Caenorhabditis elegans: one gene and its partners. The protein of the gene in region 2 interacts with the protein of the main gene of each other region in a pairwise test. Each region holds a gene or a part of one and is shown on either strand. Other genes may lie near its edges.

What was found. Proteins that work in one complex are often made in the same cells at the same time.
Region 1: the proteins of dnc-6 (region 2) and ncl-1 interact in a two-hybrid assay, tested with the Caenorhabditis elegans proteins (one large-scale study listed by BioGRID).
Region 3: the proteins of dnc-6 (region 2) and rei-1 interact in a two-hybrid assay, tested with the Caenorhabditis elegans proteins (one large-scale study listed by BioGRID).

The regions. Positions count from the first base shown.
Region 1 is NC_003281.10:7,718,217-7,722,822, reverse strand, and holds the start of ncl-1 (RING-type E3 ubiquitin transferase), read right to left. Parts: upstream 3,033-4,606; coding exon 3,007-3,032; intron 1-3,006. UniProt on the Caenorhabditis elegans protein: Translational repressor that inhibits protein synthesis.
Region 2 is NC_003279.8:3,166,584-3,171,758, reverse strand, and holds dnc-6 (Dynactin subunit 6), read right to left. Parts: upstream 3,567-5,175; 5' UTR 3,548-3,566; coding exon 3,534-3,547; intron 2,665-3,533; coding exon 2,491-2,664; intron 1,754-2,490; coding exon 1,507-1,753; intron 744-1,506; coding exon 636-743; 3' UTR 529-635; downstream 1-528. Other genes in the region: Y54E10A.6 (B3/B4 tRNA-binding domain-containing protein), read right to left, coding at 4,326-4,538. UniProt on the Caenorhabditis elegans protein: Part of the dynactin complex that activates the molecular motor dynein for ultra-processive transport along microtubules.
Region 3 is NC_003281.10:4,096,364-4,100,177, reverse strand, and holds rei-1 (Guanine nucleotide exchange factor rei-1), read left to right. Parts: upstream 1-1,987; 5' UTR 1,988-2,049; coding exon 2,050-2,168; intron 2,169-2,326; coding exon 2,327-2,710; intron 2,711-2,762; coding exon 2,763-2,862; intron 2,863-2,918; coding exon 2,919-3,050; 3' UTR 3,051-3,275; downstream 3,276-3,814. Other genes in the region: C03C10.7 (uncharacterized protein), read right to left, coding at 3,276-3,432, 3,632-3,741, 3,791-3,814. UniProt on the Caenorhabditis elegans protein: Guanine nucleotide exchange factor for Rab GTPase Rab-11.1. Spatially and temporally regulates the distribution of Rab-11.1 to target membranes during embryogenesis. Plays a role in cytokinesis, probably by targeting rab-11.1 to the cleavage furrows.

The DNA.
Region 1 (4,606 bases), on a different chromosome or scaffold from region 2:
TCCCTTTCCATCCTCCAAACTTCCTCTTTTTATCGTCGAAAAGTCAGTTTTTCCCCTCTTTTTTTTGGTACAGCTGCCATCGTTAACTTTCATATCGAAAAGGAAAAGGGGACAGAATTCATCGATATATATATTTCTGGCGCCCATCCCATGAATTTTTTCGGTTCATGTCCGATTTCTCTAGTCTAATCCAGCGCTATTTCTCTAGAGAGGCGAAAACGAAAACGTGCCGATTCTCAACATTTCCGTTCGTTTTTTTGTCCGCTGTGTTGCCTGCCATCGTTACGAAAAGAAGATGAGAAAATTGATTGGTTTTAAGGAGAAGAAACTCGAATTTTAAAAAACGAACAGATAGACCGGTTCTCTGATTTTCAGTTCGTTGCCTTGGTTTCAGAAAACATAAAATAAATGTTGGGGGAACTTGTTTAAAGTTTTGCGCAATATTGTGCATATGCAAATATTCGAAATACAATAATACTCATAGTTTTACGATTATAAAAATGCCTTAGTGTCTTGATTTTGAAAAGCTATAGTTATGCAAAAAAAAAGTATCGTATTTTACATTCTCTAATTGTAACACAACTTTTCCGCTTTGAAATTTAAAAATTCAAATTTTTGATAAATTTGACTATTTCAAGGCGAAACGTGAAAACAAGGGTGAGAGGCACCCCCGAAAAGCCTCTAGCGCATTCAGTAAAAGTTTATATTGCTATTTTTGAAATGGAAGGTTTTTTACTTTAGGCATTTGTATCTTCTCAGATATACCAAAAATTGAGAACTGCAAAATATAGGTTACAGTGTGGAAAATACTCTACAGATGAAACTAAATTGTGCAAATTTTAAAAAAATCATGTAAATTGATGATGTATAACCAGGGATGATTACATCCGTGAATCAAAATTTATAAAAATTACACAGTGCAAAACCAAACACTTTCATCTACATCTAACTTACATCTAGATGCACTCGCAGAACCACGAACAGAGAGCCGATCAAAAATCAGACCAATCGGGGCAAAAGGGAAGAGGGAGAATTGGGCGAAAAAAATGCTGGAGAAAGGGGAAAAGAATTGTCGTTTTCGTTTGCCACATACACTAACTATGCCGTTCTCTCATTCAGTTCGTCACATCGAGAGGAACGGGCGGTTTGCATCGGAATGGCAAACAAACAAGAGAGAGAGAGAGAGTTGTTTTATGCAATATGATGAATGGTCGAAACCCACCTTCTAGGCAGAAAGTGCGAAAAAAATGGGACAAAAAATGACGGATTCTCTAGAGTCTCTGGGTTTCAAAAGCTATTTTCAAATTTAGTTTGGACTTTTGGAGTGGTGAAGCGAACTGGATTGAACTGAGGAGGAAAATGGAGAAGCTGTGATTTTCAATTATTTTAAAAGAGGCTTTAAATTGTAATTAGAAACAAGGCGTTCCACGGAGGCGCGAGAGCTTTCATATATCGCTTAAACGGGTTTTTTAAAGTTCAAATTGTTAAAAGACATTTTGCATCAAAAATAAATTTATGAAAATATTACAGGCTACCTATGTTTTATGATTTTAAATATAGAAACATCACATCAGAAGTAAGCTTTCTAGAACGCTTCACAAAAGTTTTTTGAAAAAAAAAACATTGCGACCAAACTAGATTCTCCCAACCACAAGATCTTCACCCCTATTCCAATCAAAAAAATGGATCGGTGCTCTCCTCCGTCCAGAGTCACATGAAAACGACACAAAAGACGCGTGGCGATTGGAGGAGAGAAAGAGAGGCGCAAAAAATGACCCAATGGGCTTCTGTTGAGCCATGCGAAAAGAGAAACTAGAGAAAACTGAAGAGAAGTCATGTGGCTGCATCACCGCCGTTTTTTGACCTTTTTTTGAGCAGATTTTCTCGTGAAACTAGAGAGGATTAACTAAAAATATATATATTAATGGATACAATACACATTTCTTCTAATGATCTCTATACTCGGCAAAACGTCGCAACTTCATAGCAAACTCCTGCAACTTAATAAAAACATTCATATAACTTTGTAAAAAGCTGTCAAGAAGTTGCGAAAACCAACGGGATTGTGAGCGAAATTTAGCTTTACATCTGCTAAGAAATTGCAAAAGTCATCTGAAAAGCTGCAGAAGTTTGCTTAAAAGCTAAAATGCCTAATTGTTCTTAAGAAGTTGCAAGAGTATGCTATGAAGTTAGGCCGTTTTGCCGAGTAGGAACCCTACGTACAAATTATCAGAAACATTGTTTGAGAAGCTACCAAAATTTACATTTTCGCCGAAGAAAAGGAACTAAACTGAAAAATGAAAAAAAAAGTAAGCATTCTTGCTATCATAATATTTTGTTGGAATCAGCAAAAAACGCGTTGATAAAAACGATTTTATCAACACTTAATGTGGATTTTTGACAGAGCAGGCGGTACGGAAAATGAAAAACCTACAGTACTCCTTGAACGTTTTGAGGCAGCAGAAAAAATCACTGCCTACACTACAACAATTTCGGCTAATTTTATGAAAGTGGTCAGGGAAATTGGGTGAATCGTATTTTGACTAGGAGACTGGGAAACTATATTTAATAAGTTCCTATTATCCTTGAAATTGTTTGAATATTCAAAATTATTATTGCCACAGAGCGTTATTTGAGAAGCTTTTTATTTTTGATTTTAAACTGAAACTTGCAAAAGTTTAACACATTGATTTTTATAGATTCGATATCTATCCAATTCAGTAAAATTCACTTTTAACAGAACATGTGACGGACGTCCCACAGTTTATTCTCCTTGTGAAGGATCTCATTTAATTCGTGTCGATTTTTAGATTATTTTTAATTCTGAAACTGTGTATAACAGTTCCTTGAGCTTCGTTCTTTTGAAGCTAGTAAATCATTAAGAAGGTTCAACAATGAGAGACTTAGGAAAAGTAGGAAACATTACACTTTAGAATAAAACGCAGACTAGAAAATAGTCAGAACCTTTTGTTTAAAATTGTTTAATTTTTGAATAAAACAACTGACCTGCAAATTTCTAGATACGGAATCATTGTCTTCTGGATGAGGCTTTCTGTGGAATCTCCTCTGAAGAGCAGGTGTAGAGCAGGCTTCTGAAATTAAATCAAGATTTCCCTCAACTTTTAGTATGAAACAGTTATTTGAAATCGACGGTTTGAAAGTGTTCCGGAAGAGATCTAAAAATCATTTACAGAATTCAAACTTTTTGTGGGTGAAAGAGGGAAGCGTATAGGAAATATGTGTGTCACATCACAAAAGTCAAGTGACAGTGGGAAAAGAAGAAGAGTTAAGAGATGGTCAGAGACGCAGAGGGAAATTGAGGAAAAATTGAAAACTGTGTGCAAACAGTGCAGAACTTTGATGATTTCCTACTGGTTTTACTTCGTATTTTTGGGTAGATTTGTTTCAGAGTTTCGGTTTTTGGACGAAATTTAAATTGTCTTGTTCTAGAAAAGTTTTACACGAATGTGGGACAAACTACGAAGGGTCCATCTTGATACCAATTTTCAAAAATTCGCGTGAAGTATGATGTACAAGTTCGGTAAATACCACGAATCAAGAAAATTATGCAAACATCATTGACTACCATTTGGCAATCCATCAGGGTGAGGCGACATGGCGCCTTTTTCCTCGCCTTCCTATCGCCCGCCTCGCTGTTCGGTGTTACAATTATATTGAACCGTTGCTGTATATTTTTTTTTGATTATATTTTTTTTCTACCTTCTTAAAGGCGTGGAGGCGGGAAGGGGAGAGCAACCGTGCAAGCGCGGTTTTATGCTCAGTGAATTGCCCAGTAGTGCAAAGCGGAGAAGCTCGAACTTTAAATTCTGCAAATCATTCAAATAAATGCTAAAATTAATCTTGACAAATTTGCGCGGAAAATGTTTTCCCTAACACATTAAATTTCCCACACACAATTGTGACAATTTTAGAAGCCGTTTGAAGTTTAACGAATTATAATAATTTCCAACAATTTTAATTTTTAAAAATTTTTTAGAGTCAACTCTATCTTTCTATATAACTTTTTGGCCTACACATTCTGCTGCCAAGGAAACAATTTTAGGCCTAAAAATTCATTTGGCGGGAAATATGAATGTTGTTAAATCTAGATCAAGATTAGATACAACTTATACAAATCGATCAAAATTCAAAAAATAAAAAGTAAAACAAAAAACTCTCGAAAAAAGTTATTATCATTTCAAAAAGATAGAGGGGCAAAAGACACTATTTCCACATCAGTTTTCCACCCGTCACACACTTTTTGGAACAAACAACATACGAAACAGTGTGTCAAAATGAGAGAATGTGATAGATAGAGATGGGCGGTATGTATGCGTGTGCGGGAGAAGAGTGGGAATGAGGAATTGGGGTGGAAAACGGGCGGTCACTTTTAAGAGATCATTGATCTAATAGAGGAGTTAGAGAATCAAGAAAAACTTATTTTTTTAAAACAAACCAATTGTGAAAGTTTATAAAAATGTAATCGTATCAAATTTTAATTTGGCAATCCACAATTCATATAAATTTTCACTTCTTGAAAATTCATGTGCAAAAGATTACTGTAGAAAATTTATGTGAAGGTTAGAGGGCGTTTTGAAAAAAAAGA
Region 2 (5,175 bases):
CGTTCCCCAAAAATAGTGACTCTGGCCGTTCCCCAAAAATAGTGACTCTGGCCGTTCACCAAATTTAGTGACTCTGACCGTTCACCAAATTTAGTGACTCTGGCCGTTCACCTGAGTAAAAGATAAAAAAGTAAAGGACCCAATTGCTGGCATTTTGAAAATGTTCAATCAATTTCTGAGAAGAAAGCCGACAAATTTTATGAAGACGACACAATCCTTACATGAAAATGTTTCTGTTGGCATAACCAAAATTTTAATAATTGGATAAACTTTGAGATGTTCCTCGAAAAATAGTTGTTTTCTTTCTCATCTTTTCTCCAATCCAAAACGATTTCTCTGATTTTTATTGTTATATGGCTTAATTTTTTAAATAAAAAAAAAGGGAAAATTTCTACGTCCTAGATCGGAGTTAGGACGTTCCGAGTCGGAACTTCCGACACGATGTTTCGCAGAGTTACCTCCATTATTTGCTGCTTATTTTTTTGTTGCTAATTGTTTTATGATTTCAGCTGAACGTGCTCCTAGAACAAAATAATCATGAATTTTATTTATATTTTGTGAGAAATAGGGGACAAAAAAATATCCGACATAAATAATTGCAGTTAAAATGCGAGATAGGTTGAACCAAAAGCAGGTTATTGTGCAGCAGAAGCAGAAGCAGTAGCGACGGCCTTCTTCTTCCCGTACAAATGATGATATGATGGTAGGATTTTACGCAGGAATTCAATTTGGTGGGGCGATGTCTGAAAATTCCATATTTTTAGGTTTACTTTCATTTAGAATAGGTAACAAATTGCCGGTTTTCTGATTTGCTGGAAAATTTCATTTCCGCCAATTTGCCGGTTTGCCGGAAAATTTAATTTCCGGCAATTTGCCGGTTTGCCGAAAAACTTAATTTCCGGCGAATTGCCGATTTGTCGGAAAAATTTATTTCCGGAAAATTCCGGCTATTTGCCGGAAAATTTAATTTCCGGCGATTTGCCGATTTGCCGGAAATTTTCAAATTCGGCAAATTAGCGGTTTGCCGGAAAATTTCATTTCCACCAATTTGTTGGTTTTCCGGAAAACTTAATTTCCGGCGATTTGTCGGTTTGTCGGAAAAATTTATTTCCGGCGAATTCCGGCTATTTGCCGGTTTGCCGACTTGCCAGACAATTTCACTTCCGGCAAATTACCGGTTTGCCGATTTTCCTGAAAAATCATTTACCGCCCACCCCTGACACTTGATCCGTGAATTTTGCACAAAAAGCAGCGGCGCCGCACAGAAAAAGAGGCGGAGCGAAAATTCGCAACCATGCAGCACTGTTTTTCACTTCATTTCAAAAAATTTCCAATTTTACCTGTTTTATTCAATTTTTTTCATATAAAAAACAATTAAACATGAAAACTGTGGGAAATGGGTGAAAAAAAGAAAGAAAAACTGTGCCGCATGGTTGCAAAATTAAGCTCCGCCTCTATTTCTGTGCGGCGCCGCTTTTTGCGAAAAAAAAGCAGCATTTCCCGTACCATATTCGGCGTTTTCGTCGTTCTACTCAAATTCGTGGCTGCATAAACAGACACAGAAGGTTCCAGATTTTGATGGGAAAACACTGTACACTTGGCTCCAACGCTACAGTCATCTGAAACGGAGCAACCGTCTTCGAGCACCGCATGCACACCAATCACATTCCGGCTTCCAACGTATTTTGCACTGGATTTCGAGTGGACTTGAAAGATGTTCCAGTCACCGATTATCATTGGTTGACCGTCGCTGCTGGAAAAAAATCGTTTTTTTTCTCAAACATTGCCTAAAAATTTTTCTGTTGAAATGGAGATTCTTGCCGAATTTGCCGGAAAAAACCTTGCCGGTTTACCGATTTGCCGGAAATTTCAAATTTCGATTCCGGCAATATGTCGGTTCGCCGTAAATTTTCAATTCCGGCAATTTGCCGATTTGCCGGAAATTTTTATTTTCGGCAAATTGCCGGTTTGCCGGAAAAATTAAATTTTAAATTCTGCCAAATTGCCGGTTTTCCGGAAATTTCAATTCCGGCAATATGCCGATTTTCCGCATGCCGGATATCAGCTTTGCCGGAAATTTTCAATCCCGGCAAATTGGTGGTTTGCCGGAAAAAATTAAATTTATAATTCCGGCAAACTGCCGATTTGCCGGAAAAATTACATTTTGAATTCCGCCAAATTGCCAGTTTGCCGGAAATTGTTATTTTCGGCATATTGCCGATTTTCCGCATGCCGGAAATTTTAAATTCCGGCAACAAGTAGGTTTGCCGGAAAAATTAAATTTTAAATTCCGGCAACTTGCTGATTTGCCGGAAATTTTCCATTCCAGCAGATTGCCGATTTATCGAATTTGCAGGAAGTGTTCAATCCCGGCAAACTGGCGGATTGCCAGAAAAATTAAATTTAAAATTCCGGCAAACTGCCGTTTTTTTCCGGCAAATCGGTAAACCGGCAATTTGGCGATTCCTGTATCATATGTTTTGAACATACTTATTCCGAATAACTGCGTATTCTTCAAAAATATTATTTTCTCCAACATAAATTGGGCCTTTTGTGGCGTCGAACACTACAAATGGATGGACGACGCAGCCTTCTTTAATTATAACTTCTCCTTTTATATCCGCTTCGACGCAGACGATTGCACTACTGGCGATGGATACTGTGCTGAAAAAATTGCAATTTTTTTCGATTTTTAATTTTTTTTCTTTCGATTTTTAACGATTTAATTTTTAAAAAATTGAAATTTTAATTTTAAAATTCGATTTTCTAAAAAAAATCGAAAATTTGGATTTTTTATTATTTTTAATTTTAAAAAATTCTAATTTTAATTTCAAAATTCGATTTTCTAAAAAAAAATTTGGATTTTTTTTCGATTTGCTGACAAGAAAGTGGAAAATTTTGGATTTTTTTATTCTGAAATGCCTAAAAACATCTCTTTTTTCTTTTTTTTTCAACAAATTCTGGAAATTTTTTTTTACATCAAAAAAATCCGAATTTTCCAAAAAAATTGTACAAATTTTCAGAAATTACGTTTTTTGAAACTTTTCTAACGAGAAAAAAAAAGCTTTTTTTTTCTTTTTTGGTTTTAATTTAAAAAAAAATGAAAAAAAAATAATTCGATTTTCTAATTTTTTGTTAAAAGTTCCAAAAATTCCAGAATTTCAAAAAAAATTTTTAATAAAAAAACTGTGTTCCTTTTCTTGGAATTCCAGATTTTCTAAAGTTTTTTACTGGAAAATTCTGGAAATTTCTGTTGCAATTTAAAAAAAATCCAATTTTTTTTTTTGAGATAAAAAAATTTGAAATTTCAATTTTAAAACTAGACACTCTAAAAAAATTTGAAATTTCAATTTTAAAACTAGACACTCTAAAAAAATCGAAAAATTTCGATTTTTACCTGAAATTCTTTAAAAAATTTCAGAATTTGTTTTCCAGAAAATTCTGGAACTTTTCAAAAAAAAAACAATTGTTTTGAAGAAAAATCTAAAATTTTCCACTTTTAAATTTAAAAAATTAATTTTTTTCCAACTCACCTAGTTTCAGTCATTTCTAAAATCCGTTTCTTTCTGAAAATTGCATTACTTCTCTCGACAGATTGCACAATTTCTCGCCACAAATATTCCATGGTTTTATATTCAAAAAAAAACCAATTGGAGACAAAAAAGAGAGCGAGAGACAGGAAATAGTCATTTCCCACGACAAAAACGATACTTTTATTCTAGTGTCAGCGGGGGAAATCGGGGAGAAACAACAAGAAACATGGTAACAACAAAAACAAAATAATTAGGTGAAAAGGAAGGAAAAAAATCCAAAAAAAAAAAACTCAAAAATTCCAAAAAAAACCGACTTTTCGGCAAAATTGAGCACTGTGACCAATCAGCGATTCGCTCCGCCCACTTTTCAACCAATCAGGATTTTCGGCGCAATTCTACTGGTTGTTCCAACATTTTTCATTGAAAATTAGTGTCAAGATATGGAAATTTACTATCAAAATGTATAAATCGATCTTTGAATTTTGCAAAAATTGTTGCCCGTGCGGCAGTGTTGCGAAAGCAAGCTCCGCCTCAATTTCTGTGCGACAAAAATTTTTGCAAAATTCAAAGATCGATTTATACATTTTGATAGTAAATTTCCATATTTTGACACTAATTTTCAATGAAAAATGTTGGAACAACCAGTAGAATTGCGCCGAAAATCCTGATTGGTCAAAAAGTGGGCGGAGCAAATCGCTGATTGGTCGCAGCGCTCATTTTTGTCAAAAACTCTGATTTTTCATTTTTCTTTCGGGGATTTTCTGAATTTAAGACTATTTTTTTGTCAAATTTTTAATTAGATATCCGGGAGACTCCTGGAAGGTCATTTTTGTCGGGATAAATTGAAACAAGTGTATCACTGTCGACAACTCTGACTTGATCAATTGAAAGAGTTGGGAATATCTGACGACTTGAGAGAATCAGTTCATCCATTGTCTTTTTACATGCTTCCAGTGATTGTTTCGAAGATACTTCTACCCAGATGCTCGTGGTATCCACAGTTAGCTGAAATTTTTGTTTCCAATTTTAAATACTAGAAATTTTTAATTTTTATTACTATATCACAAAATTCTGAGAAAATGCGTATTGCACAACATATTTGACGCGCAAAATATCTCGTTGCGAAAACTACAGTAATTCTTTAATTGACTACTGTAGGTCGATTTACGGGCTTCGCTTTTTGAAATGAGTTTCTGTTCGAATTGTGGCAGCGGTTTTAATTTTCGTCCAATTTTTCTTCTTTTTTTTTAAATTTTCATCAATAAATTACAAAAAAAGAGTCAAAATCGCTTTACACTGTTTTTCTTGTTAATTTTTCAATAAAGTTTGAGTTTTTCTTGTGTTTTTCTTTTTTTCGAATGAAAATGCTATCCAATTCGAAAAAAGAGAAAAAGACCAGTGAAATTGAAACTTTATTGAAAAATCAACAAGAAAAGCAGTGGAAAAGCGATTTTGAATCGTTTTTTTGTAATTAATTGTTGAAAATATAAAAAAAAAGAAGAAAAATTGGACGAAAATTAGAAAAGGCCACAATTCGAACTGAAACTCATTTCAAAAAGCGAAGCCCGTAAATCGACCTACAGTAGTCATTTAAAGAACTACTGTAGTTTTCGCTACGAGATATTTTGCGCGGTAAATATAT
Region 3 (3,814 bases), on a different chromosome or scaffold from region 2:
CGGAACTGAAATATTTTTTATGAAAAGTGTGATCACATGTCCGACGACACCCACTAAAAATTTGACAACTTCGTACTTTCTTCTCCTTTGAAATCATCAATTTCTCCTGGTCATAGGGAAAAGAGATAGAGAGAGAGAGAAAGATAGAAAAGAGAAAATAGATCAGTATCTGTCTATTTCTCTAATTTTCTCACTTATTCTTCATCGGAAGAAGAAGAAGATGAAAAAGACAACGTCATCCACAACCTGTCGTCCCCCACACACCCCTACGACCACAAAAACTGTCCCCGTTTTTTCGACACCTCCCTGATGTTTTTCCCGCAAATCCTATTAAAGCTCACGCGCCTAGACTTCTTCAGATAGCACTCATAAAAGCTATTATTCGCTATTTGTCAAGTAAAATTGCCACATTGGCTCCTGTCACGAATGAAAATTTTCCGCTACCGTACCCTTTATTTTTTGTTGTAATTTTCAATTCTTTTGATATTCTTGATGTAAAAATTATATTTTTTATCGAAATCCCGTCAAATATGCTTGGAAAAAACGAAATTTCAAGAAAATCATCATCTACCGTACTCATGGGTACTGTAGCTGAAAAGTTTCACTCGCGTCGAGACCCGGAAGCATCATTTTGCTTTGAAATTTGCGCGTTTTTCCGATTTTCGATTCAATTATTAGATGAATTGAAAACTATCAGCGAAATCGTTTTATCATTTGACAAAACCTGAAAATTTTCTAAAAATGTTTTTTGTCAGACTGAAGAAAAATTATTTTTAGATTAAAGGATTAAAGGATTAAAGGACGATCGGTTCTTCAAGTGCTATGCACTGCGGATCTGGGATTCAGGTACACTGCCTGGTGGTGATCCTCTGGGCTGTAATTTTAAGCCACGTCCTAGCCGGGGACTGTGGCCGATAATCCAGTCGTGGATTGCTCCACTTCCCAATAGACATTCTCTTATTTTAAAAATAGAAATGTTGCAATTAATCGGAATTTTGCAGTTGAGGGGTATCGCCCCAAAAAAATTTTAAAAAAATATGTTTCAAAAAAGTACTTCTTGAGGACTGAGGCGACTCAACTCTTCCCCCACCTTCCACCAATTTTGCTCATATAACAGTCCACAATTGTGTGCCCCTCAATATATTTCCCCTTCGGTATAATTGGCCCATTTGCCCTCCACAATCTATTCACACTGTCCATCCCGACCGTCCGTCTCTGTTTCTCTCTTCTCCGTCGTCCCCCACACTTTTCCTACCCCCGCTTGTCGTTTGCACGGCCTTCAAACCCAAAAAACCGATGAAAACCGTATCTGAAATAGTTCTACTCTCCGTTTCCTCGTTTTCTTTGTTCTAGAATGGTTTCAAGTTCGAAATTCTCAAAAAATTATGAGGTTCGAATATTACCCAGACGCAAAATTTTGAGATTTTTGCCCTGAAAATACGGTACCTGGCCGCGAAAAGGCAATTTCTGAGATTTACAAACGGGGGTGCGCCTTTAAAGGATACTGTAATTTAAAGCTTTCGTTGCTCTCTGATCAGATTTTAATTGATTTTTCATAGTTGATCTCACAATTTATTAAATCGAATAATTTTGAATTTTATTATCTTAATTATTAATAAAGTAATATTATTTAATAAGTAAATTTATTTTCAACCAAAAACTATGAAAAATCAATGAATACTGAAATTACAGTACTCTTTAAAGGCGCACACCCATTTGTTTTCAACAAAAATGTCATGTCGAGGGCCATTTTTGCAGCTGATTTTTGCTATTAACCCTGAACAACTAAAATTGAGAAAATTGTCCAAATTTCATTCATTTTAGCCATTTTTGTAAGTCGAATTGATAATTTCTGAAAAACTCCCGCCATTAATTTCAAATTACGATCTGCAAACACCATCACGTAAAAATGCACAGTTTTGCCTCACGTTAAAATTTGCAAATTTAATTTTAAAAAATTTATTTTCTCATCTTTTCTCCTCATATTCTCTTCATTTCTAGTAATTTTCGTTCGAACAATTCGATTTCAGAATCAATAAAACATTAAAAATGACGGAAGGGGACGATCAATTAATATCGATTCGCAAACAACTTGAAAATTTAAATAATGCAACAGATGACATCAACAGTTATGAGATGAAGTTGGAAACTGTCAAGAAACAGTTTTGGTGAGTTTTAATTCATTTTTTATTTTAAAATAATTGCTTAATCGCTACACGTCTAAAACTGGAAACCTTTTATTGCACTAGTCATTCTTAACCAATTAATTCGCAAAAAATCGTACCAAATCTGGTTTTGATGCTAAAATAATCTTATATATTTTCAGTGAAACCCAACTAATGTTCAACAAAGAAATGCTTGGAATCCCTAAAAAGTTGGCCAAACACATATCAAAATCCCGTCAATTTTTCGATTTGAAAAGCCGCGAATCGGAAATCAGAAGATGTGTTCAACAAGCGGCAGCTCAATTTGAACGACAAAAAACTTCAGTTGAAATGGCAAGAGAACAAGTGCAAATACTGCATAATTCATTGAATAACAATCAAGAATTGGATGCAGAGAAACAATATGTTGATGTGATTGAGCAACAGTTGGAATTGGTTAAAGAAGCTGAGGGAGAATGTTTAAAAGCTGAAAAGTGTCATGCATCACGTGTCAGGGATTTGTTACAGTTGGAAATGGCTTTAAGGAAATGTTTAGAGGAAAATGGGTGAGTTTCAGGCATCAGGCAATTTTCTGACAATATATTTTCCGAATTTCAGATCTGCCATCAAAAAATCCCGGCCCTATTACGAACGAAAAGAAGTTCTGACGCGAACAATGAATTCTCAACTTGAGTTAATGTCAATTTTGGAGCATGAAGTAAGAACTAATAAGAATAAAACTGTATATAGATTAAAATAATTTTTAATTTCCAGGTACAAGAACGAAAAGACAGCTACAGTGATTCGATGCGAGCTTTAGAGCAGATCAGCGATCAAATTCATCAGGAGCGTTCCTCGCAAAGCAGTTTGGCTCCTTCGAGTGATGCAGAATCCGACAGCTCTTGATACTCTGAGCCACACCCTTTCTTCTCAATTTTCCACGTGTAATATTAGATTTTTCACGAAGTTTCGAAATCTCGATCTCACTTGTACTCACGTTCCACACCCAATCAACTTCACCAAAAATGTATTTTTACGGGTTTCAATCCCCTTTCTCTTTGCTCCTCATTTTCTCTATGTATCTCTTTATTTTGTGTTCGTCTGGTGCTTAATAACAATTTTCTTGAAACATTAAAAATTGTGATAATGAGAAGACGATGAAGTGCCCACAAAAGCATCTACGTGTGCACACGCTGCACTTCTTGTCGGAGCACTGGATTTATCAAGCAATCGTGAAGCCAATGTGCATAGCTCACAAAGAGTGGATGCCCTTGTCGCTGGTGGCAATCTGAGGGTGAAATAGATTGTTGAAAAATTGTAATTTTTTGAAATTTTGAGACGTTAAAAAAAATCGAAATTTCGTTGACTTGCAACTTGCGCGTCATATATAGTGTCAAGTACGCATACACCGCGACGGTAGAATGCACAAAATTGTCAATTTCAAAATTTTCATGATTTTTCTTTTATTTAACAATTCAATTTCTCACCTGCTAACCGAAGCGGGTCTTCTTTCTTCTGGAATAATTGGAATTTCTTCATCAGAATCCCATTTAAAATACTGAAAATTGTTCACACGCCGGCCAAGCTTTGGAATGCTCTAAAAATATTTGTGTCATATTATTGTTTCACTTAATTGAAGAGATTACAGGCATTTCTATATCATTCCGATT